3 linked regions of the Zea mays genome follow. The protein of the gene in region 2 binds, or shares a complex with, the protein of the main gene of each other region. Links are inferred from orthologs where the notes say so. Each region holds a gene or a part of one and is shown on either strand. Other genes may lie near its edges. The genes, in order: probable cleavage and polyadenylation specificity factor subunit 1, IDP798 and cleavage and polyadenylation specificity factor subunit 3-II.

The links.
Region 1: IDP798 (region 2) and probable cleavage and polyadenylation specificity factor subunit 1 share a complex: the UniProt entries of both Arabidopsis thaliana proteins name them as parts of the CPSF complex. The link is inferred for Zea mays from reciprocal best matches to the Arabidopsis thaliana genes CPSF100 and CPSF160.
Region 3: IDP798 (region 2) and cleavage and polyadenylation specificity factor subunit 3-II share a complex: the UniProt entries of both Arabidopsis thaliana proteins name them as parts of the CPSF complex. The link is inferred for Zea mays from reciprocal best matches to the Arabidopsis thaliana genes CPSF100 and CPSF73-II.

What each region holds. Positions count from the first base shown.
Region 1 is NC_050097.1:87,240,747-87,251,859, forward strand, and holds part of probable cleavage and polyadenylation specificity factor subunit 1, read right to left. Parts: intron 5,035-11,113; coding exon 4,259-5,034; intron 3,611-4,258; coding exon 3,530-3,610; intron 3,190-3,529; coding exon 3,124-3,189; intron 3,032-3,123; coding exon 2,954-3,031; intron 2,628-2,953; coding exon 2,397-2,627; intron 2,314-2,396; coding exon 2,185-2,313; intron 2,088-2,184; coding exon 1,914-2,087; intron 1-1,913. UniProt on the Arabidopsis thaliana protein: CPSF plays a key role in pre-mRNA 3'-end formation, recognizing the AAUAAA signal sequence and interacting with poly(A)polymerase and other factors to bring about cleavage and poly(A) addition.
Region 2 is NC_050098.1:233,403,104-233,413,886, forward strand, and holds the end of IDP798 (Cleavage and polyadenylation specificity factor subunit 2), read right to left. Parts: intron 10,762-10,783; coding exon 10,593-10,761; intron 10,423-10,592; coding exon 10,326-10,422; intron 10,235-10,325; coding exon 10,108-10,234; intron 10,032-10,107; coding exon 9,916-10,031; intron 9,687-9,915; coding exon 9,592-9,686; intron 9,514-9,591; coding exon 9,362-9,513; intron 9,066-9,361; coding exon 9,008-9,065; intron 8,932-9,007; coding exon 8,824-8,931; intron 8,558-8,823; coding exon 8,305-8,557; intron 7,685-8,304; coding exon 7,506-7,684; intron 7,230-7,505; coding exon 7,134-7,229; intron 7,015-7,133; coding exon 6,916-7,014; intron 6,512-6,915; coding exon 6,380-6,511; intron 5,873-6,379; coding exon 5,828-5,872; intron 5,378-5,827; coding exon 5,213-5,377; intron 4,585-5,212; coding exon 4,510-4,584; intron 4,052-4,509; coding exon 3,953-4,051; 3' UTR 3,700-3,952; downstream 1-3,699. UniProt on the Arabidopsis thaliana protein: CPSF plays a key role in pre-mRNA 3'-end formation, recognizing the AAUAAA signal sequence and interacting with poly(A)polymerase and other factors to bring about cleavage and poly(A) addition. Required for antisense-RNA-mediated gene silencing.
Region 3 is NC_050098.1:223,887,275-223,898,487, forward strand, and holds the start of cleavage and polyadenylation specificity factor subunit 3-II, read right to left. Parts: upstream 5,687-11,213; 5' UTR 5,133-5,686; coding exon 5,108-5,132; intron 5,027-5,107; coding exon 4,840-5,026; intron 4,731-4,839; coding exon 4,658-4,730; intron 717-4,657; coding exon 599-716; intron 492-598; coding exon 418-491; intron 291-417; coding exon 154-290; intron 1-153. UniProt on the Arabidopsis thaliana protein: Component of the cleavage and polyadenylation specificity factor (CPSF) complex that play a key role in pre-mRNA 3'-end formation, recognizing the AAUAAA signal sequence and interacting with poly(A) polymerase and other factors to bring about cleavage and poly(A) addition.

The sequences.
Region 1 (11,113 bases), on a different chromosome or scaffold from region 2:
ACTCGTCTCCCATTTACTGCTTCCGCTCGGGCTGAGCAGGCTTTTGATCTTCATTGTGATCTCTGGGCTTCTCTTGTACTGTCTTTCTAAATATAAATACTACTTGGTGATTTTGGATGATTTCTCTCATTTTCTATGGACTTTCTAGCTTCGGTTGAAGTCCGACACGTTCACCACTCACACCCACTTCTTCGCCTGGGCCTCCACCTGGTTTCGTGGCCCGGTCCATGCCCTCCAGTGTGACAATGGCCGCGAGTTCAACAACTCCGCCTCTTGCTAATTCTTTCTCTCCCACGGCGTTCAGTTGCGTCTCTCATGCCCTTACATCTCTCCCAATAATGGCCTGGCCGAACGCATCATTCGCACCACCACTAGGCGGTGAGCCATGTCCTCAATCGCCTCCCCTCGAAGGCGGTGAGCCACCCCACTCACCACTTTGCCCTATATGCACAGCCGCCTCCTCCTATGACCACCTTCATGTTTTCGGTTGTGCTTGCTATCCCAACGCATCCTCATCTCTTGTCACGTTGTTTTTGACAAAGATGTTTTTCCCCTTGCTGGCTCCTCCCCACCTGCCGATCTCGACTCCCTCCATCAGTCTGATCCTGTCCCTCCACCACGGCCCCTCCCGATTCAGACACCTCTCACGCCTCTACCCACGCCACGCGCGATCCAGATGCCCCGGCTCGTGCCTCTACCAGTGCCACACACAGCCAAGACACCACCGCTCGCACCCCTACCCACGCCACGTGTGACCCCGTCGACGAGCGGTGCGGCCCCGTCGTCTGCCCTCGCCTGGCTCGCTTCGACGACCCCACCATCGTCTACCACAGTCGCGAGCGGCCCACTACTTCGGTCACCGCTACCCCTCCGGCTCATTCCCACACTAAGCCGTTGGTGTACCACCCGGTAGCCATCCACCGTGAACCCAGCCACATTCACCCGATGGTGACTCGTCGGGCGGCCGGCGTTCTCCGCCTCGTCGAGCGATTGGTCCTGACGTTCGACGCACCTCCGAACGCCTCACCAATTCCATCCTCCGTTCGCGCCGAGCCTCACTAGCGTCGCACCATGGAGGAGTACGTGACCCTGCTGGCCAACCACACTTAGGACCTGGTGCCGTTTCCACCAGGCACCAACGTGGTCACCGGCAAGTGGATCTTCCACCACAAGCTAACCTCTGAACGCCTCACCAATTCCATCCTCTGTAAGGAGGGTTTTTGTATCTGGGGTTCTTTCCCCTTCCCTTCTGATATAATATATTGGAGTGCAGTTCTCCTGCGCTTTTCGAGAAAAACAATAGCTTACAAAAAAATTATACTTGAAATCGATCAATATCCAACCTGTAAATCGCCTACATGTTGCATTATAATATTTTTATACTTGAAAAAAAAATCTTAAATACAACATCAGCGTAAGAATAACAAAGACATTTTTTAATAAAAGCTCAATTTTCTAGAGATGGAGTTGAGTTACAAGCCAAACACATCAAAATATTGTTCAATTCTAGAGAAGAGCTGCTCTATGATGGAGTTGGTAGAGCAGAGTTAGAGTTGGTGGAGCAAAGTAGTCCCAAACACCCCCTATATTAAGAACCTCAATCGGAGCCTCGACCAAGAAAGGTCACGAAAGCTACCCCCGTGCAGCATGAGGATGTGCCCCCTACAAGTCAGATTGGTACTCATGCTTTGAACCCTTCCAACCCCTACACGAGGATCCCCCCCCATAGGTCAGTCCACCATGTGTGCACACAACTAAAGGAACCAGCGAGTGACCTTTTTTAACCTCAGTCTGAAATTTGCTCCCACTGGGATTCGAACTCAGGATCTGAGTGCTACTCAGACCACCTAACCAACTCAAATGAAAGCCCCTTCGTGCACCACATATAAATAAAGAGTATTTACAATACTTACAATGTTCAGGCTCACAACATGCAATGGTGCATCATAGAATGCAACGGCAGTCAATTCAGAGCCAGTCCATTTATTCAGTGTGATCTTAGGACCAGAAGCTATCAGTAGATGACCTTGAAGAGCGGCAACAGCAGATACAGCACCTTTGCTCTCTTTTGAGTAGACTTCGGTAACCTGAAACAAATTAACAGGTAACCAGATAAAGAGTGTTAGTTGAAATGCCAGTAGGAAACTAAGAAATTTTTATCCAAAGAAGTCCAATAATGCTCACCAGATTTTGAGAATTTTCACTTTTACTGAAAGAGAACAGAAGCACCCGTCCTCTAGCAGCAACATCCTCCCCTTGAACATAAGCAGTTCCAATGGCCATCAGGGTTTCATTTTCCTTCGTAGATGTGTTCTGAGGCGAAAATCAATAATATTCTGGTAAATAAAATTTTAGTTTGAGTGCAGTATCCATACAAGTGTAGAAGACATACATACTTGCAAGGTAACGATGCGCACTGTTAAAGCGTTTTCAAATGATTGCATCGGAATGGTGGACCTTGTCTCCCAACGTCCATTGGATTTTCCCAACTCCATAATACGAACTTCAAATTCATCAACAGTATAGACCTCTTGGAGGTCACCACCACTTGTAACATCGTTCTCCATGTGCAGACCCAATTCTTGATCAGCCATAGAAGAAAGAACTTGATTTAAGGGGCGAACCTGCTGCAGTAAATGAAACAAAAAACCTTAAACTATAGAAATCTATCTGTACATAGATAATCCTTACAAACACAATAAAAAATCAGTACATTAGTAAGTAAACAATAGTAAGAGCATAAGGCAGTACATAAGGGCGTACCCAGTGCCGTAGGCTTCCCGCACTATGCGGGGTCTGGGGAAGGGTATCTTTAAGCGCCAAACCTTACCCGCATAATATGCAGAGGCTGGGGCTCGAACCCGGGACCTTCCGGTTACAGACGGTAGGCTCTACCGCTGCACCAGGCCCGCCCTTAGTACTTACAAAAACAAACACAGTATACAGTACTTACAGGAACTGACACAATAAGCGGATAAAGTGACTGCTCTCCATAATATGTGACCTGATGTGGAGTGCCATGCAAGGGGACCTACAGATGTGCAATAAAAAACTTTTGTATAAGAAAAACAATGCTGCAAATAATGTTAAGGTAAAGCATGTGGACATGAAGATTAACTTTACCTTTTGAACAGGCCAGTAGTTGTCATAGTTATATGCAGATGGCAACTGACATATCTTCAGAAAACCCTGAACCCATAATTCATAACTTCAAATTCCAAAACAAAAGCAATATAATATTTTTTGCAGGATGCAATATAAGTATATAAACACCAGGTAACCATATTTGTATATTTCACAATGTTTTCTGCTGATTGCATTCCGCAAAAAAATAAAATTCTAGTTATTGCAACGCTTAAACTCCCACCATTTGAAAGAATTAATAATATTGTGCTAGTTTATAGGGGCAAGGGTGGTCATTTCACATTGGAACTCGTACTTCCTTGGTAAGTGCAACTGTGTGATGTGGACAAACACAAAGAAGAATAGAAAGTATCATGTTGCAAAAGGAATACAAATGGCAGTTTACCTGAGATGTCACATAAATAAGGCCACGGCAACAATTGACATTGTGGAGAACAGTAAAGGCTACAATTGGACCGTCGCATAACTGCAAAATTTAACTGCTTATAGAAGAAGAAAAATAGAACAATGGTTGAAGTTGTATGTAAGTGCCATTTCTCTATAACCTAAAGAGACACACCCAACTCCACTAGTAGTATTTATTAGAAAGTGCAGCAGGGCCTGTCGCCTGGCATATCTGCTGGCCGGCCTGTATGGAAGTCTTAGCAGGGCCTGTCGCCTGACATATCTCTAGCTATATCTATGCCAATACATCCATACAGGCCGGCCGGCAGATATGCCAGGCGACAGGCCCTGCTGCACTTTCTAACAGTATTCATATGCGTTATATGTACCCTATCATAGGCATTTGAAACTGAGAAAATAAACTACAAATTCTGACCAATTTAGCATTATGTTCAGTGGAAGAAGCCTAAGAGGATGGGTCATCAGGATAGACCACATGACAGAAAACAAATAATAAGAATAGTTGAAAACATCCATTTAAAAACCAAAAGAGAATTTTTTTATGTCTTCAGATTTTTAGAATAAAAGAACAATTCAGCAGAGTAACTGAATAGGTTAGGTACGAAATACTCAACAAAAGAATGTCATTGTTTCCTAGCCATGTAAGTATATTGAGAGAACATTATAAGATGTCTGATAGAGGAAAGAGAGAGCATAGCATTTTGCATACCTGTGGATGCACCCGAAATCGCTGTCGACAAACAAAAACCCAGGTTGGCCTTGGGCCACCAAGAAATAATCCCTCGTAACCTCCAACATTGTTGAAAATTGTTATTCTTGGTCGTACAAGACATGATATGTCATCTCGTGATGAGATATCTATTGAAACTCGACAAAATCTCAAATTTCTGAGTCTTGAATCAGTGGCATTGCCAATATCCGGTGAACCACCATGAGGTGAGAAAGGAGCACATTGCACATTGCTTTCTGAGCCTTCAAAATAATATGCGTGATAACACAACAATGTCCCATCATTCAATAATCCAAAGAGGAATGGCCGGCTGAACTGCCCAGACCATCTATGCATTGCAAGCTCAACTATCTTAATGTTTGCTGCTTCCTCTTTCTTCACAGAAACTTTAGAAGCATCTCGATCCCCTATTCCAGAATCCTTAGTAGAATTACGAGAAAACACATCAAACAAGATAGCTGGTCCAGAAACAAAATTATCCACAGAGAACACACGTTTAAAACTGGGTACTTCAAAAATTTCCAGTTTACCGCTTTCATAACAAATTATGCAATATATATCAGACAGGTCGTGAGAAGAATTGTCATTATCATCAATAGCCTCTCCAACATCAGTGGATAACCATGCATCAGTATGGGTCTTTCTAAGCCATGGCTCAGGTCCTCTGTCACAGTATAGTGTACATGCTGATATCCGCTCACTTGAGCTTGCGAATATGGCAGGAGCATTTATAGAAATAGTACAGGTTGAAGGATCTGCATCAAAAAGTATAACATGTAATCAAGTTTCAAGCAATTGGCAATGGCAAACAGTGTTCTTGAGGCGGTAAGGCGAGGTGAGGAGCTAGACCACCGCCTTAACGCCTAGGCAGGCAAGGCGAGCAAGGCACTAGAATTATACGAGCGCCTGGACGCCTAGACGATGCCTTAAAACACTGATGGCAAAGGCAATGGTCACAAATTTTGCACGACAGATCACTTAATAAAGAATCTAGATTGAATTGACTAGCATGTCTTCTATTTAACAGTAGACGAATTCTCAGGATCTAGGGAAAGCATCTAGTATGTTTGTGTGAAACCATTTTTTGGTGTAATACGTGAACTTCCCATCTGCACCAGAAGCTAATCATGTCTAAATTTCATTGAGATTAGCAGGTTAATACTGAATAAAGAGATACTTAAACTTCCACAAACATAGAACCCAATAGATTAGTGCACAGTTCCACACATATGTTTTAAATTCAACTGCATGAAAGCACATGATTGCAAAGCTCTATCTTCAGCATTTGGGAACTCTCATGGCAGATTCTTTTTAGTATTTCTAGACCAAGGGTCAGGGCGGTCAGCAGAACTCCAACCGCCACAACAAGAAGGGTGGCGTGAACACTGGTGGGAGTGGTCAGCATGACCAGCAGCACCAGGGGAGCAAGCAGCGCAACTACACTTTCCACACTCTCCAGACCATGGGTCTGCGTTGGTGCTCTGCGAGGCCAGCAGCAGCACAGTCATGGCCTCGACAGCAGCAGCCAGACTGGTGCAGCCAGGGTATCCTTGGGCTTGCTCAACAGCCCCATACAGCCTCCGTGCCTATGGGAAACCCTAACCCTAATCAGGGTTGAGAGTGCATTAAATAGTCCAAGTAGTTGGGCCAAGCCAATTACACAGGGATAGTCAGGTAATTACAAGAGGACTCAAGCCAAAACACTAAACGGGATTCTAACACCCCCTGTAGTCTCAACTCTATACTGTACAGATGTTGAGACTGGATCGAAACTCAGTGAATACACTCGACGACAACCCCTAGGTGAAGATGTCTGCGAACTGCAACGTGGTCGGGATGTGTAATGTCAAGAATAAGTACCGGCTAATGTAAATTATGTTATTGTAACTCTTTCCACTTTTACTCTGAGGTTGTGTAATATCTGTGATATGAGATGTACGCTCTTGGAAGATGTTGAAGAAGATGCAGGAACCAGGCCCTGTCAAGCTATTGGGTGCATCTATATGACTGCCTAAGGTCCTAGGGACAAGTACAGCTGTAGGTGGGCCTAATATCTTGGGAGGTTCCGTGACAGCTAGTATCGGAGCGGCGCCCATTTCTTAGGACATTACTTAGTGCTTCAAAAGGTTTTTTAAAACTACTTACCTCTGAATATTCTTTCATTAAGTAGTCGGGCAAAAGAGTGCATATTACTAGGTTATATGTAGGGAGTAGAGGATCAATAAGTAGTTGATTCCATGATCGTAGGATCATGCATGCATCATGTTTAAATAATACTAAGTGTTCTCCCATTTTATAGAGACATGGCACGCACAAAGACCACCCTTCGAAAAGCGACTGGACCTCAGGGTGTGCCCCGACATCAGTTGGCTCCTCATCATGAGGGGAGCAGCAGTGAGAGTAATGATCCCACAGGAGACTTGGAGGCTAGAGTCGAGCGTCTGACAACGGAGTTGCGCCATGGAGGTAGGGGGCGCGTGCGTGCTAGTTGCCGCATCGCTGAGTTGTCAGGAGAAGTAGAACGTCTGCAGCGGAAGATTGTAGAGCGTGATCAGGCTATGGACTGGGTTGTGAATTCGCGATCCATAGCCTAAGATCGTGATGCGACTACCCGAGCCCGGGTGGATGAGTTAAGTCTAGCCTTGGAAAACCTGCAGGTGCATGAGTTATATGACCAGCTACATCCAAATGTGCCACCCGAAGTTGCAGAAATGGGTGTTGGCGCAGCGGGAGCAGGTGAAGGAGGACCCTATGGAGAGTTGAACATCTTTGGAGCCCCTCCTTCTATGAACATCGTGGATGTACGCCCTCCTGAAGCTAGTAGCGGATCTGGAGCGACCAAGAATGCGGAGAACTAGACTAGTATAGTAGTGGGTTGTTTCCTTGCTTAGACCTAATAAGGAGAGTGGGTTTGTATGGACTGAGTATGTATAATAAGTAAGAGCATGGAATAATGTAACAAATGTTGTGTAACTGTACTGTGTAATAATAAAGCGTGTTTTTCTTCTCCAGATGTCGACAAGGACCCGTGGTCATGATGGGGTAGGGACTTCTTGGGGTAGTGGGGAGGAGACCCCAATCCCACCGCCTGTACCTCCAACTTTGGCGGAGGCCATTGCTGCCCTGCTTAACGCTACTGCTGACAATACCCGGTTTCTCCGGGAGATGGCAGGAAACCAGATCCACCAGCAAGGAGGTCGAGGCCAAAATAAAGCTCCAAGAGACACTACTTATATGGAATTCTCAGAAACTCGTCCCCTGTCTTTATTAAAGCAGAAGAATGGAATTCTCACAAACTCGTCCCCATGTCTTTATTAAAGCAGAAGAATCTCTAGAGGCGGATGAATGGGTCCGTGTGATGGAACAAAAATTTGGACTGATCCGATGTACAGAGACTCAAAAGCCCATGTTTGCTGCTCAACAAATGTGAGGCCCCGCTAGTACATGGTGGGCAAACTTCGTAGACATTCAGCATGAAGGTCATCTTATCACGTGGGCAGAGTTTAAACTAGCGTTCAGGGAGCATTTTTTTCGAAAACGTAGGAGAGTTGTGTATCATTATATTAATAAGAATAGGTGAGGTAAAAGAAACCTCATACAACTCTACACAAACCCACATACACTAGATTATAGGTAGAATAATAACAATAAAAAACAGCTAGATCCATGACCATGGAGACTCCAAAATAAAGATTACTGATTGGTTCACTGGAGCATAAGGATGCTGGATAAATCACTGGTTCCAACCCTACACCAGAGGTGAGACTCCTCCTTGACCCAATTGATGACCATGCTGGAACTAGGTTGCACACCATTAAATACACAACGGTTGCGGTGATTCCAGATGGCCCAAGCTCCAAGTATGATCAAAGAATTCAAGCCCTTGTGCAGCCCATTATATGCTGAATCAACAGAAACTACGTCAACTCCTTCCCACCAATCCTCAAAGGAAGAGTTCTCAAGGTTAGAAGCAAGGTGCTGCAACCCGACAGATTTCATAATCTGAAACCAAACTTCCCGAGACAAAACGCAGGAGACTAACAAATGGTTTAGCGTCTCTTCCTCTTGATCACACAGGGGACAGAATTGAGGGTGAGGCAGTCCTTTCTTTGCTAGACGGTCTGTTGTCCAGCAGCGACCGTGAGCTTGAAAGCAGCCGGATATGCTTATCCTCTTGATCCGGGTATAGGGCCCAATCTGCAGTGAGGTCCCAAACATTGACGAAATCAGACAAAATATTTACAGTGATAGCTCCTCTTATGTCCTGCACCCAGTTCCTTGAAGTGAAGGCATCGTGGACACTCCTCTTTTTAGCCCTAGAAGAGACCAACTTGACCAGATGAGGGGCCAGCTGACTTTGGACTCTGGCCATCGATCCATTTATCTGTCCAAAACAAGGTGTTTTAACGTTACCCACCACCGAAGAAACCGATTCCGAGAAGAAGGCCTTAACCGAAGGGTGAGCATTTATTTTAAAGGATGTCCAAGGCCTGCCAGTATCAGTTTTTTCAGCCAGAGCCAGCGCAATCTAAGAGCCCAACTCATCATATGTAGGTTTAAGATACCCAATCCTCCAAATTCTTTTGGTCTAGTGACCTTGTTTCAAGCTACCAAACAATGTCCTCCCATAGCTTCTTTCCTCCCTCTCCACAGGAATTTTCTTCTAATTTTGTCAATTGCTTTGATAACACACGAAGGAAGGTTGATGGCCATCTTTAAGTAAATAGTCATTGAGGACAGAATAGTCTAGACAAGAATCAATCTTCCAGCTCTAGTCAGCAGATCGGCTTTCCAGCAGGGTAGACGATTTGCAATTTTATCAATGAACGTTTGGAGGTGCAGTTTATCAAGCTTTTTTAAGGATAGAGGCACCCCCAAGTATTTGCAGGGGAAGTTGGCAACATCGCATGGCAGCAGGTTACGTATGGTATCAAGTTTTTCAACAACACAGTGGATGGGGAAAACACTGCTCTTTGCCATATTTGTTTTGAGCCCAGATGCCTCACCAAAAAAACCTGAGTATGTCCATGGTGATTTCTAAATCAAATGCCACCGGGTGGAGCAAGATCACCACATCATCATCATAAAGAGAAATACGGTTATGATCTGAATTTTCTGTTAGAGGCTCCAGCAATCCATCAGCAGCAGCCTTCTTAATTAAGTAGCACAATACATCCATACCATTAAGCATTACTTGAGAAGCAGAAGCAAGAAGAATGCTAACAATATCACACCACATTTGCCCAAAACCCAAATGCTTCAAGACCTCTAAGAGGAAGAGCCACGAGACAGAATCAAAAGCTTTGGTGATATCCAACTTAAGGAGGATCCTTGCACATTTTTTCTGGTGAAGCATTTTGGTTGTCTGTTGCACAAGCATAAAGTTGTCCAGCATGGATCTGCCTTTAATAAATGCACTTTGATTCTGAGACACTATATTATCAAGGTGTCCAGCCAGCCTATTTGCCAAAAGCTTAATGATGAGCTTAGCAAAGGAGTGGACCAAGCTTATGGTCCGAAAATCCTTAACATGGCATACTTCATCTTTTTTGGGTATTAGAATGATGTAGGCTGAATTGAGCAGCTCCAAATTTCCCCGATTACTATTCCAAACAGCCATAGTAGCTGCCATAATATCTCCCTTAATAATATGCCAGCACGACTTATAAAATTTCCCGGTAAAACCATCCGGGCCAGGAGCCTTGTTTAAGGTAGAGATAGGACTGTTTTCCAGACTTCATCTTCCATGAAAGGGTTGTCCAGCGATGAGAGATCATGAGTAGAAATTTGGAGATGATCCAGATCAATAGTATGTGCTCGGTCAGATGAACATCCCAGCAGATTGTGGAAAAAATCACTTAGAGTTTCCTCCTTGTCCTCATGCCTTGACTTTATCAAACCATCGTCAGATAACAGATTACCAATAAAATTTTTGCCTTTGTGGTATTTAGCATGGAGGTGGAAGAAGACAGTGTTAGCATCCCCCGCAGCCAACCAGGTGATCCTAGAGCGGCTCCGAGCCATAGAACGTTGCAAGGTTGAAAGGGCCACAATGTGACCATCGAGCTGTTTCAACAACCAATTTTCTAACACAGAGACAAGGGTCTGTTATCTTGAGCAGATTGCAGCTTATGCATAATTTCCCGCGCCATCCCAAGCTGAGAGGTAATATGACCCACCCTTTTTTGAGACCAGCTTTGGAGATGCTGGACAATGGCTCCAAACTTCTTGGAGAGGGTTACAAAAGGACAAGGGGAGAAAGGAACAGAATTCCAAGCAGCCTCCATTGTCGCAATAAAATCAGGCAATTTTGTCCAATAAGATTCAAAATGGAACCTGTTGCGACCAGGCGTCAAAACTTGGAGCCCAAGAAGCAAAGGGCAATGATCTGAACCGTTTGTGCTAGCACTTTGCATAAGGCAATGGGGAAAAAGCGGCTCCCAATCTGGAGAGCAAAACATTCTGTCAAGTTTGACGAGAGTGGGCGTATCTTGGCGATTAGACCAAGTGAATTTCCGACCATGCAAAGCCAATTCTTTTAACACCAGATCATTACTTCTGAATCTCTCCATAAGCTGCCTAATAAAATTGCCAGAGCTCTTATCTTCATCTCTGTGATGAGGTTAAAATCACCCATTAAAATCCAGGGTCCAGGACAAGCAGATCTCATATTCCAAAGCTCTTGCATAAATTGAATTTTGTTGCTGTCGCCTTGAGGCCCATACACGCAAGTCAACCACCAAGGAAGATGATCTCTTGGACTGAACTGAATTGTCACGCTATGGTGATCCACCCAAGATGCGTTGGCCGGACCAATTTCATTACTCCAGGCCA
Region 2 (10,783 bases):
ATTGGTTTGGTACGAATAATTACAGTCGTCACTCAAGGAGTGGGAACTGCCATTCTGACCCTTCTTGGGGGATTCCATCCACAAACATAAAATTTATGGTTGATCGATATTGCACGTCATCATTTAGCTATTGTATTTATTTTTATTATTGAGGTCATATGCATTGAACTAACTTCAGAATTGGACACAATATCAAAGATCTTTTAGAAGCACATACTCCTCCGAGGGGTCGATTAGGACGTGGGCATAAAGGTCTTTATGATACAATCAGTAATTAATTTATTATGATTCTTTAGTTATTTATTTTGTATTTGAAATTTTAAGAATTTTGACTCATTCTAAGTATTTCTTATTGTCGAACCATAGCCATAGTCATAGTAATTGCACTTGTTAAAGAAACTAGAAGAATTAGGGAAATGAGTTCAAACGGAAGACAGTCGTGTGGGCGAGGTCATCGGCAGCCGGTCGTGGCCTCGCAGGGCCTAGAGATGCCAATGGATGTGATTTACCCACGTACCCACGGATAAAAAAAACCGTTGGACACGGTTTTGGGTACGAGCCTATACCCGTGGATACGGATACGGGTAGCATTTGATATCTGTGGATATTTTTAAAAGAGGTACGAAAAATCAGTATCCATACCCGAATACCTGAATATCCGTTAAAGTAACCTGACATGTGGGGTCACTAGAGTTTGGAACCACTTCACGGACCACAACCAACCCAACTGCCCAAGTCCCGTACTCCTGTCGCCACAAGCCTAGGTTGATCCAGCGAAGCCCTCGCTCTAGTACCCTCTCTTCGCCGCCCACTCCATCTCTCCCACTCCTACCGCAGTACCGCTACCGGCTACCGGTTGTCGCCGCCGCCACCACCCCAGTCCCCAGTCCCCACCCCCACCCTCCTCGAGACCTCGACGGCCAGCCGCCACCTGGCCAGGCGGCCAAGCGGCCACGACGACCACGGTCTGGCGCTCGACGGTCCCCACGTCGAGCACTGCGTAGCCGCGCAGGACATCGCCAGGACTGCGCAGGGTTTAGGGTTTGATCGATCTTCTCCACGCGACCACGTCGAGCACTGCACAGGACATCACCAGCTCGCCCAATAGATCCAGTTTCTTTGTAGGTTCTTGTAGTTTTTCAGATTCTTATAGGCTTTTCAGATTGGAAATACCATGATCCTGGTTACTTTTATCAACTCAATGACTTACAGCTACCATGGAAACCCCTAGTGGTGGCACTCAACAAGCCTCTACAACTGGTCCTCCTACCATGGTGGTGGAGTCCTCATCAGAGCAAGAGGACATACCTGCTTCGTCAGGATCAAAGAGGAAGCTCAGATCTGATGTGTGGAAGGATTTTGATCAGGTTGAAGTTGATGGAGTAGGGAAGGCTAAATGTAAACATTGCAAGAAGAAACTTTCGGGCATCACAAAAAATGGTACATCACATTTGCACCAACATCTAAAGTCTTGTATTTGGAAACCCCTAGTTGGTGGAAGTTGGAGGGAACTCGTTATCCCACTTTGAGGCTGGTTGCTAGAGACATTTAAGCTATTCCAATCACCACAGTCGCATCTGAACCAACTTTTAGCACAAGTGGCAGGCTTTTAAGTGACTATCGCAGTCGTCTCACTCCTAAAATGGTGGAAGCTTTGATGTGCAGTCAAAGTTGGCTTCGTCACACTCTTCAAGGTGAACTTTTCTTCATTTTTCCAATATGTTATATTTGAAGTATATAGATACTAATGTGCATGTGACTTTATTTTAGGTGCTGGTGATGGAAGATTCAATAGTTTTTGGTCTTGCCTTGAAGATAATGAAGAAGACATGAAAGAAGAATCTTGTGTGTTGGCTGCTGATTCTGAATAACCAGCTGGTCTTTGGTGTTGATTCTTGTGGCTTGTGTGTTTGTAATTTTATCAATTTGAACAATTCAGATTTGATTTTGCTAGACAATTTTATATTGCTCGTTGTATGCCTTAATACATGTATCAAATTTGATTTGCTAGACAAATTCTGTATGGTTGTAAGTTTTATCATATTTAAATTTGTCGGACAAATATGTTATCATATTTGAATTTGCTGGATTTAAATATGTTGTATGTGTAGTGGGCAAATGAATATATCCACGGATATCCGTTACCCGATGTGGATACTATTTTTTATTCGTAGCGGGTAACGGGTACGGGTTCGGATATCGAATATAAGTCGCGGATATGGGTGTCCAGAGACATTATTCGCGGATAGTTTATCTGTTGCCATCCCTAGCAGGGCCATGGTGGTCGGCCGTGCGTTCTAGCCGCTGGCTGTGACTGTGAGGCCAAACTTTGTTGGACATGTATACGTGGATGATTTAATTAGACCAAGACACGACATGGATAAATAGTGGGTCGTGTCATGTCCGCCCGTATGCCGAAGTCTGAGCTCAATCATGGTCCTATTAGTTTCAAATGAGCCGTGTCGGTCAATCGTGTTGTGCCATCGTGTCGTGTGGCCTAAGATCTGTCTCGTAACAGGGCTCGAAAATAACTTATTTTTCCCCTATTTTTGGTTGTTCATTTTCTCCATTTTTTTCTAACAGAACTCAAAAATAGATCTAAAGGGGTGATCGAGTTGGTCATATTTGTATATATGGTAGGCTAGATTAAGACAAGTAAGCTTAGGCCACAAATGGGTCGTGTTCGGTTTGATGGGCCATGCATGCTTAACATCGAGCTAAATAGGCCGACAGTAAATAGGTCATGCTCATGCCACCCTATGCGGTTGTATCCAAGCCAAGCACGACCTATGACATGTCTCGTGTCGGTCCGGGCACCGTACCGTGCCAAAATGATCGTGTCTCGTTTGACCCATATAGTCCGACCCATCTGGTCACCTATACGGACATATTTAGTTCAGCTTTTCTCAAAATCTAGCTGTCATAAGAATCTGCTTATGGAGATAATCTAAGTATCATAGAGATTATGTACGGAGAAAGATAAAATGGTACATAGGGTTTATGGCGTAGAAAGTAACGATTTCCTACTATTGAAACAGTTTGACCAATTCTATGTCTATATTAATTTTAGACGGTTTTGACTAAAACGATTTTTATAAAAACATGCTGAAAAGCTAAGCAGTTTCTGTTGTGCTTCGTAATGCGGTTGTGGTGGCCATATCGCGTAGGTAGATGATTGAAAATTGGATGCATGCCTCGAGGGACGAAAACAATTGGGATCGATCAAGATAACTATTCCATTATGATTTTTACATTTTATTTTGAAAACGGGACTAGTGGAATGACAAAAATGATAAAAACAAACGAAAAAAATCGATAAAAATTAAAATGGAACATAAAAAACAAAAACATAGCCGCATAGAGTATAGGTATTTAAGATATATTGATATCCATTCAAATCTTACGGTCATAGACCAATAATATTCGTATCTGATCTAAATCTAAAAAGAAAATATATCTAATCTAAATCTAAAGAGAAAATATGATACAAGCATTACCCATCTCCGATCTGATTGATTGCACCCCTAGGTGGAAAATAGGTGGACGCTTTGTCGTCGTTGTTTTTGTTCTTCTTTGGATGGATGCATTGTCATCGTTCTTGGACCACTTGGTAGTCAGCTTTGATGTTGATGAAAGAAGGTATCAAGGGGAAGAAGATTTAAAATATGCTCAACCAATTCAAAAAGAGTCAATACGATCAATATAGAACACATGCCCATAATGATGAAGGACGAAACAAGCTTCAGCATACTAACCACGGTCATCCGGAAACTGATGCCAAAACTTTGTCACGGTCATCCCACGCCAAATTTCGGACAACACAAGCCTAAGCTTGTGAAAGGGGAAACAAACAATGTAAAAACAGAAAACACCAGGATAGTCTTACAGTCAACATCTAATCTAATAATTTATAACCAATGTAAATAAAGCCTAAGCTTTGCCGTACGTTGCCTCACAGCAAGTAGAACTGCGAGTACAGAAGCTCCCTGATCTTGTAATAGTCCTCGCAGAGGGGGCCCTCGATGACGATCTGCTGGGACCCTGTGCTGCCCTGCAATATATATAATAATCGCATCACAGACGTATAATACCTTGTTTGGTATCAACAAACTGCATTTTTAGACGTGCGAAATCAAGGTTCAGAGTGGAGTTCTAAAAACTCCAAAAGGCTACAGTTTTAAGCAACATAACTTTCAGAACTAAAAGGATTCTTCAATCCAAACATTTCATATTGCTGCTTGAGGACCAAATTATTTTGCAAACTATGGTATTTCTAGAGCTCCAAAAAAAAGCTTTGCATCCAGAAAGGGCCTAAGTGTGTTAAGCCTCACACCACCGGGCAAGCCATATCAACTATGCTCGTGCAATTTTGTTGGTACAGGTCATAAAAAACTAAGGCATGTATGCATGTAACATAACAAGTTCTAAATCATAGTTCTTGAACTGGAGCATATCAAGTTCTGCCAAAACACGCAAAGGAGTATTGCTACTAAATGATGCGGAAGCTACCTTTAGGATAGAATCACCAACTTTGCGCACCATGATGTATTCGCCACACCGTAAAGCACCTCCGGCAAATTCAACCTGCAACAGCTCTTTCCTTAGCGACTATGTCAATGGTTTCAGTATACACCAACAAAGATTATTTATCCCTGCCTGCTTAATATTATCCAACCAAAAATCATATGCTGCACCTTTCATCAACCAACGCTTGTGCATGCATGTTTTTAAAGATGTCGATGCTTTAAAACTTTTGACTAATAATTCAACCAAAAATACATAGTTTTAGTGTATGCATTATATATTACTTAGATTTATATTCAAAAGTACTTTAATATGGTGTTCATTTTGTATTTATTGATGGCATATTTAAAAAATGGTCAAAGTTCCACTTTAAAGACCGTGCCAAAAAAATTATATGGCCTATTTTATAGGACGGAGTATAGGCTATGTGGAACTAAACAGCATGTGCAGGAAACAAGTGTCATCTAGTATGTCGCAGTATGCTACGGCTAGTGAAAGTTCAAGAACAAATTTCTTCTCAGCATACTTATCACACCTGAATCTCAACATATTTGATCCTCTCACGTTCAACTGAAAAATCCTACTAAATGAAATATTCATCTCCACTCCTAAAACTACAAGTTTGGATAATGGCCATATAGGTCCCAAGGAAGACACAAAGACTCACAATTCAATATAATAAACCTACCTGCCAGCCTTTGTTTTCCAAAAATTGTTTAAAATCAGACAACTTTAGATCACCCACAAGAACAGGCTTATGGGGTGGTGGTGTTGACGATGGGGGAAGCAAAATAAGCTTCTCATCTTCTTTTCCAACTTCTGCATCCACCCAAGCAATTTCATGCTCACCCAACTGCAGATCATGCTAATGTTAGTGGTTTCATAACAATGATTCGTAATCAAGTAAGTGCATATAACAAAGTACAGTGTTTAAAACCTAACCGTTTCAAGGATGAAAAACATGTTACTTGCCTTAAAAGATCTATAGGTATGGACAACTTTTTGGCATGCAAAGCCTTTGAAGTTCAATAATCAATGCAACTGGTTCGATATTATTTAGAGCTAGCAACTGAACATGCAGTAACAATCAATACAAGAAACACTCAAATCAACAAATGCCATATATGGAAGGAATTTTGCAATGAGCATTTTTTTCTATAATAAACCCAATTGGTTTGATCTGAGGGCTAAACTATACAAAAGAGAAGTTAGACCATTGGATTGTCATAACAAGGTTCTTTGGAGCTTGTTAATAACAACAGAAAGAATGAATGATAATGATTTAGGGAAATATAGCTCGTACCTTCTTAGAAATGATGTTACTCATTAACTTCTCCGAAAGTTGTACCTGAGATATATGATATGATAGCACAAACATCACAAAGTTAAGCATATGGAAGGTTGAAGCAATATGCAACATACCAACTGTGCATGATGCGGTTATGTCAGGAACACAGGCTCCTAGGTAATGACACATACACAAGGGTATTATTGCTGCCCACTAGAAGACCATAGTGTTGATAAAAAAAGGGCGTACCCAGTGCCGTAGACTTCCCGCACTGTGCGGGGTCTAGGGAAGTGTATCTTTAAGCGCCAAGCCTTACCCGCATAATATGCAGAGGCTGGGGCTCGAACCCGGGACCTTCCGATTACAGACAGTAGGCTCTACCACTGAATTGCATAACTTAATTAAATTTAAGTGATTAGTACATGACAGGGGTTTGATTTTACCTCATTTGTTCCAACAATCAGATAAGTAGCACATTTAGTATATTATAGGTTGCCTGACCTTCATGACCTCCTAAGCAAAGGTTCTACTCGGTACTTAAAGAGAGTGTGTAGTTAAGATGCTAACCTTATAAGCACATAAGTCTGATGTTACATCAATAGTTTCCTCAATCTGTGGAGCATAAACATGCAAATCTAAATTCTTTGCGCAGTGCATTTTCAAATGTTCAGTTGCTTCAGCTGATCCATGCACCAGGATCTGCAAAAAGTAATGCATGATTCAGCATAAGATAACAACTTTCTATGTACAGGTCAACCATTAACCACAAGGATAACAGTACCAGGCCACTCAAATTTTGTGCCAACTAATCAAACAAGCAGCAGGCACTTTCAATTTAAATAAAGTTTTGCAGTGGCATGTCATCCCAAAAAATGCTTAGAAATGGCATACCCTACCATCTTTGGTGTCAGACTCAGTACCACAGATATTTAAGTAAATGGAATTGAGGAGAATTCAAAAGGTTATCTTTGCCATGGAGAAGTATAACAGTATGTGTGCGCCAAAGAAAGAATATGCTCCAGAAAGTAGCATTCTTTAGTTTAAAGTGTAAAATCTAAACCATGCACGCACAAGAAAGAATATTTCAAATTAAATTCACATACAAGTTTCAGTGGAGCCACGTGAGCAATAATTGATTTTACAGAACGCCCATCAGAGCGACCTTCAAAGTCCATATAAACCAATGAGCATTTCACTTGAACCTGAAAAAATGTTCAGTATACCGGCGCACGTGTAAAATTTCAATCTGTATATAGACATATATCTAGCTCTGCAATTGATGCAGAAACTAATGAAAGAAAACAAGGAGGGAAAAACTTACAGTCATCTCGTTGGAAATGACTTTTGAGGGCGTTGAATCAAGAAGCAGGCGTGCTGAGCCATCATCGATCCTACCATCTAATCCATCTCCAGGGCCCTGAAGAATACATGCTTGTCAGAACCCAAAATAATTCAATTGATGGTCGTCTTATACCGAGTTTCATGTATTTCCAGTTCTGTTCAAAACATCTCAGTTATCACAAAGGAAAACACAGAGTTGGCTAATTTGATCCAATGAAACCACCGTCATCTTCCAGTCAATGCAACTCAGTGTTATGAACAATAACTATATCTGACAGACAGGTAATTTACATATGATCAACTTTAAAGACTCAAGAGGCATGTGGCCACATGGGTGTATAAGCAAACTTACAAGCATCAGAGTATTATCCATTTCTTCTTGTTTCATCATATAATCATCAGGGTTGATGACCTCACCAAAGTCGTCCCATTCAGCAGTGTTTTCAAAGAAGGGAAACATTGGAGCAACACTGGTTAAAGGAGGGACAAATCCATCTATGAGAATATCATTGTTCCCACCAAAATGTGAAGCTGGTAGTGTCACAAAGTAAAGAATGATAGTCAACTATACATAACATGTCACATCAAATAGAAATAAACCTTACAGCATAAGTTTGTAGAAACTAAATGGAACGGCAGAAATGTTAGCATAAGCATTGTCTTGCCTACTTCAATATAGTTATCTATACTACTCTCTATTAAGAACCTAATATGGGCACATGTTGCTACCACGGCTTCACCCTCCCCACGCTCAGCGCGCGCAAAAAATAGTGCAAAGCGAGCACTCTAACTCAAGCCGACTGCTCTAGAAAATTGAGGTTAACTATCAGACCACACATATTTTGATGTTTAGAAATAAACAATAATTATATTTGTAGTCTAGTCATCGTTCCACCCGCTTCCCCACCCCGTTGCAACGCACGGGCATATAACTAGTAATCATGAAGAGTGACATCAAACTTGATCAAGCCATTGTCTGAAGCAAGCAGAAAAAAAGTAGAGCTGAATCAAAGAAACAGCAAGTGTACTCTAGAACTCATTATCGACAGATATGCCATATTTAAGGTTGCATGTAAGTCATTTCAATAAAATATTTTATGGTTGCATGTGTGGTAAGTTATGAGAGAGATTAACATCTAGGCGTGTTATACCATTCACAGATTTTCGAGATGAGCTTGCATCAATGACCATTGGCTCAGAAGCCTTTGTGTTTGATCCATGAGAAGCCTTTAGCTCCTCTTCTTTGACAAGGCTAGCCTTTAGCGATTTCTCTTTTTTTATCCGTTCTTGCTCTTCTTCATAAGCCTTTAGTTCATTACCCACCAAAGGAATCCTCTTGCTCATAGTGACCTTTAAAGCTTTAGGGGGTGGGTCCACTTGGAGCATTCGAGCCAGTGTCCCAAACTGGAGAGCAAATATTTTCTGATCAGGTAGTTGTATAATGATACTCATGCTTGTAAGTGAAAGAACATTAGGATTAAAAGAATGGTAGTTTGATCAAAGTGAGGCTTCATAATCATATTCAATTTGTTTAAGTGTGGGCAAGCACTGTCAGCACTCAAGCAGTCATAATTCGGGAGCTTAAATACTTCCTGTGGCATGTCATTTCAGATTGCTAACTAGTGAGAGCATGTGAAGATTGATGACAAGAGCAACACACAGGAATGTACCTGTCCCTTCTCAGTAAAGAGCACTAGATTTCTTGCTTCATTTGCCATCTCCACAAATATGTCATGAGAAAAGCCAACCTCCAAACTTGCCATGGATGCCAGAACCACCTACTAAATAAGTGTTTAGTTCAAGGTTCCAACAGTATAGTAGAGAAAGAGAAACAGATAATTATGCTACCCTAACCTTTGGAGCATCTCCCAATTTCTCAAGCTCTTCTTTGTTAATTATCAGCGTGACCTTTCTGCGACATTGAACATCAAAGGTTGTTAATAATAGAATCAGATCAGATGGACCACAATTTATTATTGAAAACCTGTTCATTTAATACAAATATCCAAAATCTGAGGGGCAGAATTGGTTAAAAAAGCTAAAAGTACAGGTCAAATGTAGACTTCTAAGTTCTAATAACTGAACAACTCAGATGAGAAAATATAAAACTGTGACTTCATTATATGCATTAAAAGAGGATTTGTAAGTGAACATAGCACAAAAAGAACCAACGAAAGGTTTAGTTAGAACTTATGTTTGAGGTCATACTTTAACAAGAAGGCATTGGCTCTACTGCTTTCAAAAGATTTTGCAATTTGATCACCCATCCATTCAAGAAAACTCTTGACATAATCAACGGTACTTGTCGACACATTTGTCAGGAAGTAGATAGGGTACTGCAATCGCCTTTCATCCCAGTACTGTAACATAACAAGACGATAGCACATTATTGAACTAACAGGAATACAGAGTCCAGCAATAGTGTCAGAGATTTTTACCATATCCAATAACAAAAGAAGTTCCAACACTCTACCAGCCGTGTCAACAGGAAGTAGCACACTTCCACCAGTTGCCAGAACTTTAATTAATGATTCTGCATGAAAGATGATGGCATTAGACGATGGTACAACACCATGGCTAGGATGCATCACATATCTATATAAAAGGTAAAAACCCCATCATTTTGGAGCTCTATAAAAAACAAGAATGAACTTCATCATGAGATGACAAAACTCAGATGCTAGAACTTAGGAATACTGCTTAAACTGCAAAAGTCTAAAGAAACAGAATAATAAAAGCAGATACAGTGCCAAGTAATGTACCAATGAAATCTTGATCCTGCTTTTTTCTATAGCCTTGGTTGTTCAAAGCATTGTAAGCATCAGTTATCAGAACAGCTGGCCGCACGAAAGATCCAAGAACGGTGCCATTCAAATGCCTGGGAAAATACAACAATTTTGGTATTTTATGCCTAAAACACTAAATTAATTCTGAAAAAAAAGAGAAAAACTAACCTCTCTTTCCGATGGTTGAAGTCAACAGCATACACAACATCCTCCCCATCTTTTGTAATCTTCCAAACTGTCCCCCCCAAAAGATGCCCAGCCACATGTGGAGCAATAACAACTCCTTCACCTTTATCTATCAAAAGATATTATGTGAGCAGATGCAGTGTAGCATGCTAAAACAATGTATATCATTGTTAAGGTACAATCATCATGACCTTACTGACCATTCAGAAGGTAATTTTGTGAGTACTTCAGTCTCACAACATTTTGGAATGCAGCATCAACATCATCTAGAGTAAACAAGTCAAAGTCTGAAACTTGCTGCAAAAGAAAGATTAACAGGTAAGGGTACACTGAACAAATATAGACTACAAAGTGAAGTCCAGTTTTCTTTAGCATATTGGGAGGGAGGGAAGGAGACTATATGGCATTTTAAAGGAGTGGTTGAAAAGTGTACGCCCTAGGAAAATATCAAGCACCATGACGCTTACCCATCGAGACAGGAAATGGTCATACATGGTCAAAAGGCCAAGCCTAAACACGGGTTCTGTTGCATAAACTGGTGCAGACAGCCCAAGGTGTTTCATAGCGTAAGGCAAAGCTCCTAGATGCATCATGTCAGGATGTGACAAAAGAACAGCATCTACAGTTGGTGCAACCCTGAAAAATGTACAGTGCCTAT
Region 3 (11,213 bases), about 9.5 Mb from region 2:
GGGTCCTCCTCTGCCCCATAAAACCTGTGCTGCGAAACCATAAGAAATAACCTATGGATATAATGTGGCATAAATCACAACAACACTAGATTGAAAATCCAAGTAAAGGCAACCGCAAAACAGAAATGTTTATAGTTTGAGGTTAGACCATACTCTGTTATCAATACATCCAACTTCAGACGATCAATCTGTGCGGCCCCAAGATGTCTATCTGGTGTCATATTGTAATCCCCAGTGTATACCATAGCAGCATCCCCAACTTTTGCATAAATCATGGCAGCCCCTATAACCTTGAGATTGACAATGGTTTTACTAGATTAGAAAGTAGAGAGCTAAATCAATACTTAAATGCAAAGTATTTAAAGAACACTGAGCAGAATGTTGAATGAAAATTGAAAAACAGTGTAAGAAACTTACATGTCCAGCATAATAGGCACGGATCACAAGGTCTTTATCTACTTGAACAGTCTGCTTCAAGTCCATTGGTGTGACTGAAAGATCAAGTATTACAAGAGGATTATGATACAAACTTACTTTTGCACCAGCATCAGTGTCTAAGTAGACAGGTACTAGAAGTTTCAAACTGAACTAACATTACCTTTCTTCATACACCTAAGAATATCTTCGTAGCTATATTGCTTTTCCTCACCTCTCTGACCCATCGTTACTTTCCGATAATCCTCGAGCATAAATGGAGCTAAAGCCTTTGTTGGATACTGCTTGAGGTAACATGACATAAGTTATGGAATGACCATCAATCATCAGACATATAGATGCTTCATATAAGAAGTGGGGAGACCAAGGAAGATAGCAGCACAAGCATATAAGCTAATAATGCAAGACCATTCCGCCCAAGCATACTTCTTGGATCAGAAGCAGGACAATCCCAACTTTAAACAACCCAATCAATCCAGGATTTACTTGAAGCCAAGTTTAGATAACAATAAGCACATTCTATATATCTCTACTACTTCAAAAGTATGCAGTAACTCAGATCCTACCCCACTTCGCTCACCCTCTACTTTATTGTCCCAGCGATCGTGAGTTCGCGACCACCTGCTCTGTTTTTTTTTCTCAGCATCCAATTTTTTACCACCTATACCTCTCTCTCCCGTGCCCCAACCCCCAATCTGCCAGCCTGCCATCCTGAGCCGCCATTCTAGCTGATTTGTCTGCATCACACTGCCACCAAACAGACTGTCCATGCAGCCGATCCATCCACAGCATCTTCTCATTCGACAATTACTGCATTGTGTCAACCCCACTGGACCACCACCGCACACATCCTCCTCCGCAAGCATTAAGGTGCTTGTTGCATATGACTTCCATGCAACAGATCCACTACCCATCTACCCATGGTTTTAAAGGCGGGAAGGTGGAACTAGGCGTTCAGCCACCGCCTGGACACCTAGGCGAATTAGGCGACAGCCTAGGCGACACCATACAAGCCAACTAATATTGAAGAGACCAGGAGAGAATTAAAGCAGGGACCGGGGGATTGAAGCAGGGACCAAGGGGAGATTGAAGCAGGGGCCAGCAGAGATTGAAGCAGGGGCCAGCGGAGATTGAAGCAGGGGAGGACGACCTCGAAGGCAGGACCACGCTCGCAATGGTGATTGGTGACGCGCCCACTCCGGGTGCCTGTTGCCGTGCCTGCGCCGGCCACCATTTGTTGTGCCTGCGCCGGCCACCATTTGTTGTGCCCGCGTTGGCACCCTATGTCGTGGCCGCGCCGGCCGCACTATGCCACGCCTGTGTCCGATGCCGCACACGCGCCCGCCTTGACATCGTGCCATGCCCGTCTGGATGTCGTGCCCACACCGTTGCCGGTCCTCAGGGACACGAAGCAGCCAGGGATCATACGAAGAGTGCCACGTCGTCGGTCCTCAGTGCCTCTCTCTCTCTCTCTTCTCCTCCCTAATCTATCCCTTCCTTATCTATTCCTTCCTTTCTCTTCCCGCACGCATGCAAGGCAACACGCGCCAAAAGGGGCAGGCCCCTCGCCCAGGTTTTTGGGGCTTCAGGCGCCCGCCAGGCGGTCAAATGCGACGCCCAGCACGCCAAGGTGGATGCCCTGTCAATCTGGGGCAAGGCAACGCCGACTCTCAGTCTTTTTTGGTGTCTGGACGCCTGGGCGATGCTTTTTAACACTGCCTCTACCACACAGCTGTCATCCCTCCCTTCATGCTCCGATAAGGCACAGCCATGTACGCAAACAAGTGCTGCCCTGCTCACCAACCCTTTCATTGAGTTGTACCACTCTGCGGACCTGATCAACCACCCCCTGTTCACAGCCCTGCCTCCCACTATTTCACTCAATCTCCTCATGTTAATCACCTAATGCAGAAACCCTGACCTCTTGATGGCCCAATACAGAATGAAGGGACATGAATAGGAAGGGAAGTGTTGTGATGGGCATTCACAGAAGTAAGGCAGGCCTGCAATCCTCCGCATTCATTTCATACATTATTCTCTCCATATTGAGTGTCGTTTGATTTAATTATTGCCTTCAATCAAGTTATAGTTTCTTGCTCCTCGATGGATAAATGAAGAGTAATAAGGCAGGATCTAGCACTTGCTGCCAAGACGGTTAAGAGACCACCATTTTCCCTGCGAAGGAAGGCCATATATGTGTTTTCTTCTTTGTTTTCCTGGCCCACTCCTAATAGTTTGCTTCCCATCAGACCATAGAAGAGTCATGCTGCGTGATTTGAATTTGAGGCCTTAGTGATTGATGCGAATCTGTTTGTCTAATTTAGATGCAGCCAAGAGCCCAAGAGTTAGTTTTTCAGAGTTAGTTTCTCGCTATAGATATTGTGCCTTTAATTAGAGTTGGTTTGATATGTTTTTTCAGATTTCTCTGCCTTTAAATGATTTCAAATGTTGTGCAGAGCATGTTTAGCCAATTTAGAAGACAATCAGGTGCAAAAAAATAGTTTTTTTTCTATGGATTAAATTCAACTGCATCAAAATTGCTTCATTATATTCATGGTTATGGAATATTTGGTTCTTCATATATCCGTATATGTAGATGCAGATATATACCATAGTTCTTGAAAATACACGGTTCTGGACATAGTCTTAGATATGTAGATGGAGTTATACACATACATACGATTCCCAAGCTTCTCTTCCTAAAAGTAGGTATCAGTTGCTTGGTCAGAGAAATATAGTCGTGGTGCCAGGGGGTTGATGCATTCTTCCTTGACAGATTTATAGTGCAGTCAGTTCTATGCAATTGGTAATAACAAAAATACAGCACTTCCCAGATACTAGGGCTGTACTCTACCCTTACTATCCAGCCCAAATGATATATACCCATTGATATGGCAATGTTGGCCATATGATTTCGCAGGTGATTTTGTAACTGGGTTTTGATATCACACATTTGTAAGTTTTGAGTGATTGTTTGAATGTACCATTCTAGCTTCTAGGTTAAAAATAAAGTCAATGCAATTGAATGCCATGAAGGAGATGTGAGTTTGGAAGGTTAGGTAGTGCCAGAAAGGATATCTTTCGTATTTATGATCAATGTTACAGAGAGACGGGGATATTGATGAAGATATCAACCATAGAATCAAAGCAGGTGGATGAAGTGGTAACAAGCATTTGGCGTTCTATATGACAAGAGGGTACCACCGAAGCTAGAAGACAAGTTTTATAGGACGGCAATTAGACTTGCTATGTTGTATGGTGTAGAACGTTGGCCTAAAAAGACAATATATTCAACGGATAAGTGTTGCAAAAATATGTATATTGCGTTGGATTTATGGCTATATAAGAAGGGATCGAGTCCAAGAGAATGATATACGTGATAGGCTAGGGGTGGCACCAATTGAATAAAAGTTTGTCCAACATCGGTTGAGATGGTTTGGATATGTCCAACGAAAACCTCCAGAAACACCAGTACATAGTAGGATTCTAAGGCACGATAGCAATGGAAAGATAGGTAGGAGAAGGCCAAAGTTTATATGGGAGGAGACAGTAAAATGAGACTTGAAAAAATGAAATATACCAAAGATTTAACCTTGAATAGGAGTGCATGGAAAACGGCTATCTATGTATCTAAACCTTGACTTGTGGTTTATGTTGAATTTCAACTCTAGCCTACCACAACTTGCTTGTTGTTAAATTGAACACCATCCAGACTCAACTGGAGCACAAAACTTCAGCATGCCTTGATCCGAAACTAGCTTGGTGCCTTAGTTTCATGCCCGAGTATGGCTCAGTCAATTTCAATGTGCTCCAGGAAGTTACTCAGATATTGCAAAGGGTGACTATGCTTGCATATTGCATTTTTACACTTACAGCTGATTTCATCTAAGAGACATGTCTTTGCGTTTGCTAAACCCAAGATTCATTCTACTATGATGGGCTTTAAATTAACCTGGATTTATGGTTTCTATGGCTTACAACGCTTTCTGGATCAATTTTGAACTCAACATGCTACTAGATTTTGTGCTTCACCATTAATTGTAATTTCCTATTGGCAAGTAACTTATGATTTTGTGACCATGAAAATAATTATGAAGATTTTATATACACAAGGTTATAAAGAATTTGCAATTGGGGGTTAAATTTTCGTGAAGCAACTTTTGTTAATACAATTTTCGTTGGCCATAGTAACACAAACAATAATCATGTGTTCATAGCTCACCGTCATGTAGATGGGGCCGTGGTAGCCGCAAACCTCGGTGAAGTAGGGCAGTGCCCCGATATGATCCATGTGGCTGCACAGCACAAGCTTCCTCAGCCCCCAACCAAACGCGAGAATCTGAAGAAAATTGCCAGCATAAAAAGAAAAAGGATGAAAAGCTAAAATGTTTATCTGCAACGCACAAATGCGTGATGACCACGCAGGAGATAGCGGTGGTGAAGTCGGGCGCCCCCCAGGCAGCGAGCGCGCGCGCAAAGTCCGGGTAGTGGCGGTCGTCGTGGTAGCCCATGTGCATGCCGCAGTCGAACATGACGCGCTTCCCGCCGATGGTCACCACCACGCAGCTCTTACCCACCTCCTGCCCCGCCCCTGCAATCACCAGCGCTAGCATGGTTGTAACCGAGCAGTGCGTTCGAAAAAGGGTGAAAAGAGGAGCGCGCTGCCGCGTACCTAGCACGAGGCACTCGATTGCCATTGGTGAAAATCCACGCCTAGAGCCACACTCTAAACGCTTTAGCAACCCATAAAGAGCTCCAACCCATACCGGAGCCGAGGTAATTTGACCACGCTTCAATTGGGAGTCAACAACTCAGGCACACACAACGCCGGAGGAAAGCTCAGCGCCGGAGGGGCCTGAGCCGCTCAGAGACGCTCCGCGCCGCCTTATCCTCCCTCAAAGAAGCTCTCTCGGGCGCCGCCGCCTTTCTCGAGAGGAGGAACCGGTGGCAGGCGTCGGACCGCACGAGCCGGCGACGGAAAAGATGGACAAGGGCCGCGTGGGGCGCGAGACGGAGAGGGCGGGGACAGGGCGGCTAGGACGGCGGCGGGCCCGCGAGACCGCGGCGACGGAGAATGGCGGCGCACAAGTCGACTCGAGGATGAAGTAGGGTGGCAGGCCGGGGTTTTTTTCCCCAACCAAGATCAAGATCGAAGGGAATTTAAGTTTTCAAACCAGTGAAAAATTTAGGATTGTATCATTAACAAAGTAGGTTTCGTTACTTTGGCACCGATCGAAAGGGCCTCACTCAAATGTCATTATAAAACTTGGTACAAAAGCTACAATGTCATTTCATCTTTTAATAAAATAAAAAATAAATAAGAGATAATGAGAGACTATTTGCTCGTAGCCTTCTTCTGTGACGCTGCCAGAGATGAAAACGAACGAAAAAAACTCTCTCATATTTATATTCCTGTATTTTATCATCGGAAATAGTCGGCAACAGAAATGGAAGGGGGTAAACGGAATGGGAGCAAAAATATTAAGTAGAAACTCGTAATTTATTACAAGCATACATGATATTAATGACTGACTAGCAGTGTAATAACATGAAACAAATAGATATAGAGAGACAATATTTCATTGTTGTTTGGGTGTTAATGGTGTATATATATATCTACGGTCGATGTTGTTTGAGCCATTAGACTACTTGCCATTGAGAAGAACCGGTGGCTAAAATGATCACTCACTTAAGAATATGAGGATTTAGTTTGTGCACTAATGCATATTAGGCTCATTCTAGATTTCTTAAATACGGGACAAATATGGGTTAAATTCGGGAAAAACGAGGGAGATAAAGGATCTCCTTATCTTACCCCCTTATGGGTTAAGAAGATGGGACCAATTAAGCTATTAATCCTAATGGTCTGTCTCCCCACTTCTCATCAAATCCTTTCATCTCAAGCATTTATATAAGAAATGTCAATTGGCTTTGTCATACACCTTTTCGAAATCGATTTTCAAAATGATCCCATCTTGTTTTTTCTTTTTTACTTCATGAACAATCTCATGGAGGGCCACAGCTCCATCCAGGATATATCTTCCTTTAATAAAGCCAAACTGGTTATCACTAATCACCTTAGTGATATTGTTTGTCAACCTATTGTTAAGGACTTTTGTAATAATTTTATAGCACACATTCAAAAGACAAATGGATCTAAAGTTCTTCATTTCCATATCCTTGTCTAGTTTAGGAAATAAAGTGACAACACCGTAATTTAATCTTTTAATGTCTAGTTTTCCTTTGAAAACAGTCTTCGAAAAACTTCATGATGTCCTTTTTTATGTTGTCCGAGAAGTCTAAAAAATCTGCAGGGAGACCATCAGACCCTGGGGCACTATTGTTTAAAGTTGACAACTACCTATTTAATCTCAGTCTCTATAAAAGGGACAGTGAGGAAATATCTGTCCTCCTCACTAATATTTTCCATGTTTCTATCTTCCGTGCAAATTGAGGAGATAGAGGAGGGACCAAACATGTTTTTATAGAAGTTAGTAGCAATTCGATCTTCCCTCTCCCTCTTCAACAATGTTCCCTTTATCTATCAAAACATGGATTCTGATTCTCCTTCTATTGAGGTTGGCTTTAAGGCGAAAATAATTTGTATTTTATCTCCTTTGATGAACCTCTCGAGCTCTCTATTTCATTTTCATCTCTTCCTTGAAGAGAAGTTTATTAAGCGAAAGCTCATGGTCTTTTTTTAGTTTTTTTCACTATCTGACAACTCGCCTTCTTCATTCTTAGTGTCTAACTCATTGATTTTCTTCAAAAGATCTTCTCTCCTTCTCATGTTTTGGCCTTCTTCATTGAAATTCCAACCCTTAAGACATTTTTTGAGTCTCTTAACTTTCTCTTTCCAGATGTTAAGACTTCCTTTACTCCTTATTGGTAACCCCCAACTCCTACTTACCAACTCTCTGGAATCAGGTTTTTTATGCCAGAGCAACTCGTATCTGAAAGTAGTGCCAGGTTTTGTCGTATCCTCTGTTTATCCCTCTAACCAGAATTGATGTACAATAAATCCCAATCATGGGTTCAGGGCTCACTAGAAATTTGTCAAGTTTTTCAAAAGTGAGAGGATTTCTGTTATTGGACCACATAAACTTCTTGTCAGTGAGATCTAACTCAATCAGACCATGATGGTCAATGATGGCATTAAAAAGAAATGACCATATATTGGCAACATAAGGCTTGTTTTTTCATCAGTATTTCTCAAGGTGTTAAAGTCGACACCTAGCAAAATGGGACCCTTACATTGGGAGCAAGTGGGAGCTAACTCGCTTAGGAAATTATCTTTGTTAACCGCTTGAGCCGCACCATAAACATTAACAAAGGTCCAAGAAATATTTTTAATCTTGTGATGGACCACACACTATCATTAAATCTTTGGTTTGAATATCAGAAACTTCAAAAGTATCAGAATTAAAACCCACCAGCAAGCCCCATGATCTACCGTTAGGGGGAGAAGAGATCCACTTGAACATATTACTACCCAAACTCTTTCTTATTGGTCTCTTGAAGACTAATGAAGTCAACTTTTTCTTTATTTATGAGTTCATGAATGAACTCAAATTTCCTGGGTTTGGCAAGCCCTTGGCAGTTCAATACTACCCCTTTTTATTCAGATAATTGACTATCCTAATGATATTGATTTAGGTACCTCCTTTTATTAGATGTGCATCTAATTTTAGGAGAACCTTCATTTTTTTTCCTCAGAGAATATTTTTTCTCTTTTTGTATCATTTTCTTCTTCTTCGGAGTTTTGTGTTTTTCCCTTCCGATTCGCTATCTATCATCTCTTGAACAATTCTATCCGTAATCAAAGGAACCTCATTCTCCAAAGGATTATTAGCGTGTTTATCACTAATATCAGCACTGGATACTAGCATAATAGCCCTACCATGTTCTTCTTCTAAGCACTTGATGGTCTCTAAGTTACCTATTATTTCATTATCGTCTTTTCCTAAATTCACTCCAAGTTTGTTAGCTATTTCAATCAACAAGCTATTTTCAGAATTTAAGATAGAGGATGGGTTGGGATCATTACCCTTGTTCAAGAAGGCATCCTTCGCTCAGCTCTGTTGATGCCTTTGTCCGTAATCCTGATATCTTCATTTGCCTCTGGTCTACTACTTTTCCTTGTGTCTTCAGCTTGATCCACCCATCTAGCTTTACCTTTGTTATCCTTAACAGTTTGTTGTTCATCTTGATCTTTAAGAATCTCACCCTCATCCATCTCCAATTCCTGATCATTAGCTATCTCCGCACCCATTTCTTTCACAAAGTTATTAAGCTCCTGAGAACAGAGGAGGTCTTCGTCACTGTCTTCAAAGTCTAACTCCTCATTGATTTTGTCCCCCAAATTTTACCCCTCTTCATTGCGATTGTTAATTTCATTGGTAGGGAGATCTGTAGAGATCATTGTTTCTTTAAAATAAGAGTCAGATTCTTTCTGATTTTTAGGAATCAGATGTCTTTCTCACTTTTTTGGATGTCACTTTTGGGTTTTTTCCTCCCTTGTCACCCAAATCAAACTCATTCAACTATAAGTCCACCGAGGATCTCTTTCTCATACTAGCTTCTTCCTCATTCCAACCTTCGGTTTCCACCTTGAAATAAATGTCATATAAGAGGTGCTTGACCCCTATCTCGATGACAGGCGAAATCCTTACGACGCTCTTCACATGCACTTTAAATTTAACCATGTCATTAGTTTTCAGAGAGGCCAGATCAACCTCTTCCACGGCTCCTATTATTGATCTCATCTCACGTATGGCTTGATAATTCAACAGTTCTTCGAGCACATTTTCAGCCTTAATCCAAACTAAATGTAATATGGATTTAGCCATAGCCTATGAGGTCAACGAAGTTACTACAATTTTAACCCCTGAAATCTTCATCTTCAATTTAGTAAAGTTGGTCAACTCATTAAGCCTGTCCTGTGATGGGAATTGCATCAGGAACCCAAGATGATACTTAGTAGTTTTCTAGGGGCGCCCCATGGGAAATGGAAGCTAAAGTCACTCTCCAAATCACCTGTAGACATCGTCCCCTCTACAATTTTGACTAAACCCAGCAGACTCCTCTTCGATTTTTTTTGGAAATGTTCTTTACAAACTGAGAAGAATAGAACCCTAATCCATCCGCTGCCAATCCCACTAATGGCATAATAGGTTTGTTCTGTTTTTCGCAGTTACATGGGTCTCTTTCATACAGATGTCACGCCATAGAGCCCTAGAATAGTCTCTGGCATGATGACATTCATCTCCACATTTTTGATAGAACAAATGACGACCTCCCTCAACCTCAAGCATCCCGAGCAGGATCAGGGATTTAGGGTTACCTGGGGTACTCCTGTAGCCAGATGATGAGTCGGTCATCTTTCCCTCAGATTTCATTTGTGAGGGTCGGAGTCGCCAGCTCATATTGCAGTGTCTCCCCCAAGAATTGGGTGAATTCCTCACCTCCATATGGTTCCACTGATCCCACTGCGTAAGTTTGAGAGCACCTAGAGGGGGGTGAATAGGTGATCCTAAGAAAATCAAGACTAAACAACACAAACCTGGTTTATAATAAAAGTTAGTGAGATCAAAACCAATATGTTGTGGATAGAGAGGAGAGAACTATTCACTTGATTGTTCCTTTAAAATATGTATTGAACTTAGGAACAATAGCGCAAGTGAATATTTGAGAACTCGAGGAAAGAAAACAATCACAAAGAAGGATGCACAAGTGACACAGTGATTTTATCCCATGGTTCGGCCAATGCCTACTCCACATTGTGGTGACCTCCTTCGATCAAGGATTGCACTCAATCCCTCTCAAGTACCATAGTTTTCTTCCTTTTATCAAGTGTTTCCTTTGTGAGGAATCTCCACAAGTTGGAGCCTCTCACCCTTACAAAATTGATCACAATTAAACCACAAGAGTAAGGGAGGGAATAGAAACACACGCAAGAGATAGAGTCACAGCTGAAAGGGAAATAGGCTCAAACCTTTTCCTAAATGATTTTGGTGGTTGAATTGCCCAACACAAATAATTGGACTAACTAGTTTGCTCTAGATTATAAGTTCTACAGGTGCCAAAGGTTCAAACACAAACCAATAAAAAGTCCAAGATAGGGTTCAAAAAGAAAGAAGCAAAAGAAACCGAAGGTTGCCCTAGTCTGGCGCACCGGACTGTCCGGTGCACCAGGGAGATCAACTCTGAACTGCTCAGCTTCGGGTTTTTGGAGAGTCACTCCTGAGAGCACCTAGAGGGGGGGTGAATAGGTGATCCTGTAAAAACTTGAAACTTAAAGCCACAAACTTGATTAAGTGTTAGCATAATGAAATCAAGTGGCTAAGGAGAGCTCTTGTGAACCACAATTGACACAGTGAGAACAAGCACAGAGACACGGAGATTTATCCCGTGGTTCGGCCAAGTACAACACTTGCCTAGTCCACGTTGTGGCGTCCCAATGGACGAGAGTTGCACTCAACTCCTTTCAAGTGATCCAATGATCAACTTGAATACCACGATGTTCTTTTTCCTTTACTCTTTCCCGTTTGCGAGGAATCTCCACAACTTGGAGCCTCTCGCCCTTACAATGAGATGATCACAAAGAAGCACAGATGTAAGAGTGGGAAAAGCAACACACACAAGCCTCAAAGCACGAGCACAAACACGCACACAAGTCACAACTTGAACTCTAAGATCACACACGGAGTTCTCAACTCAAGAGGAGCTCAAATTGCTATCACAACGAATCAAATGCGCTAGAGAGATGTATTGGTGCT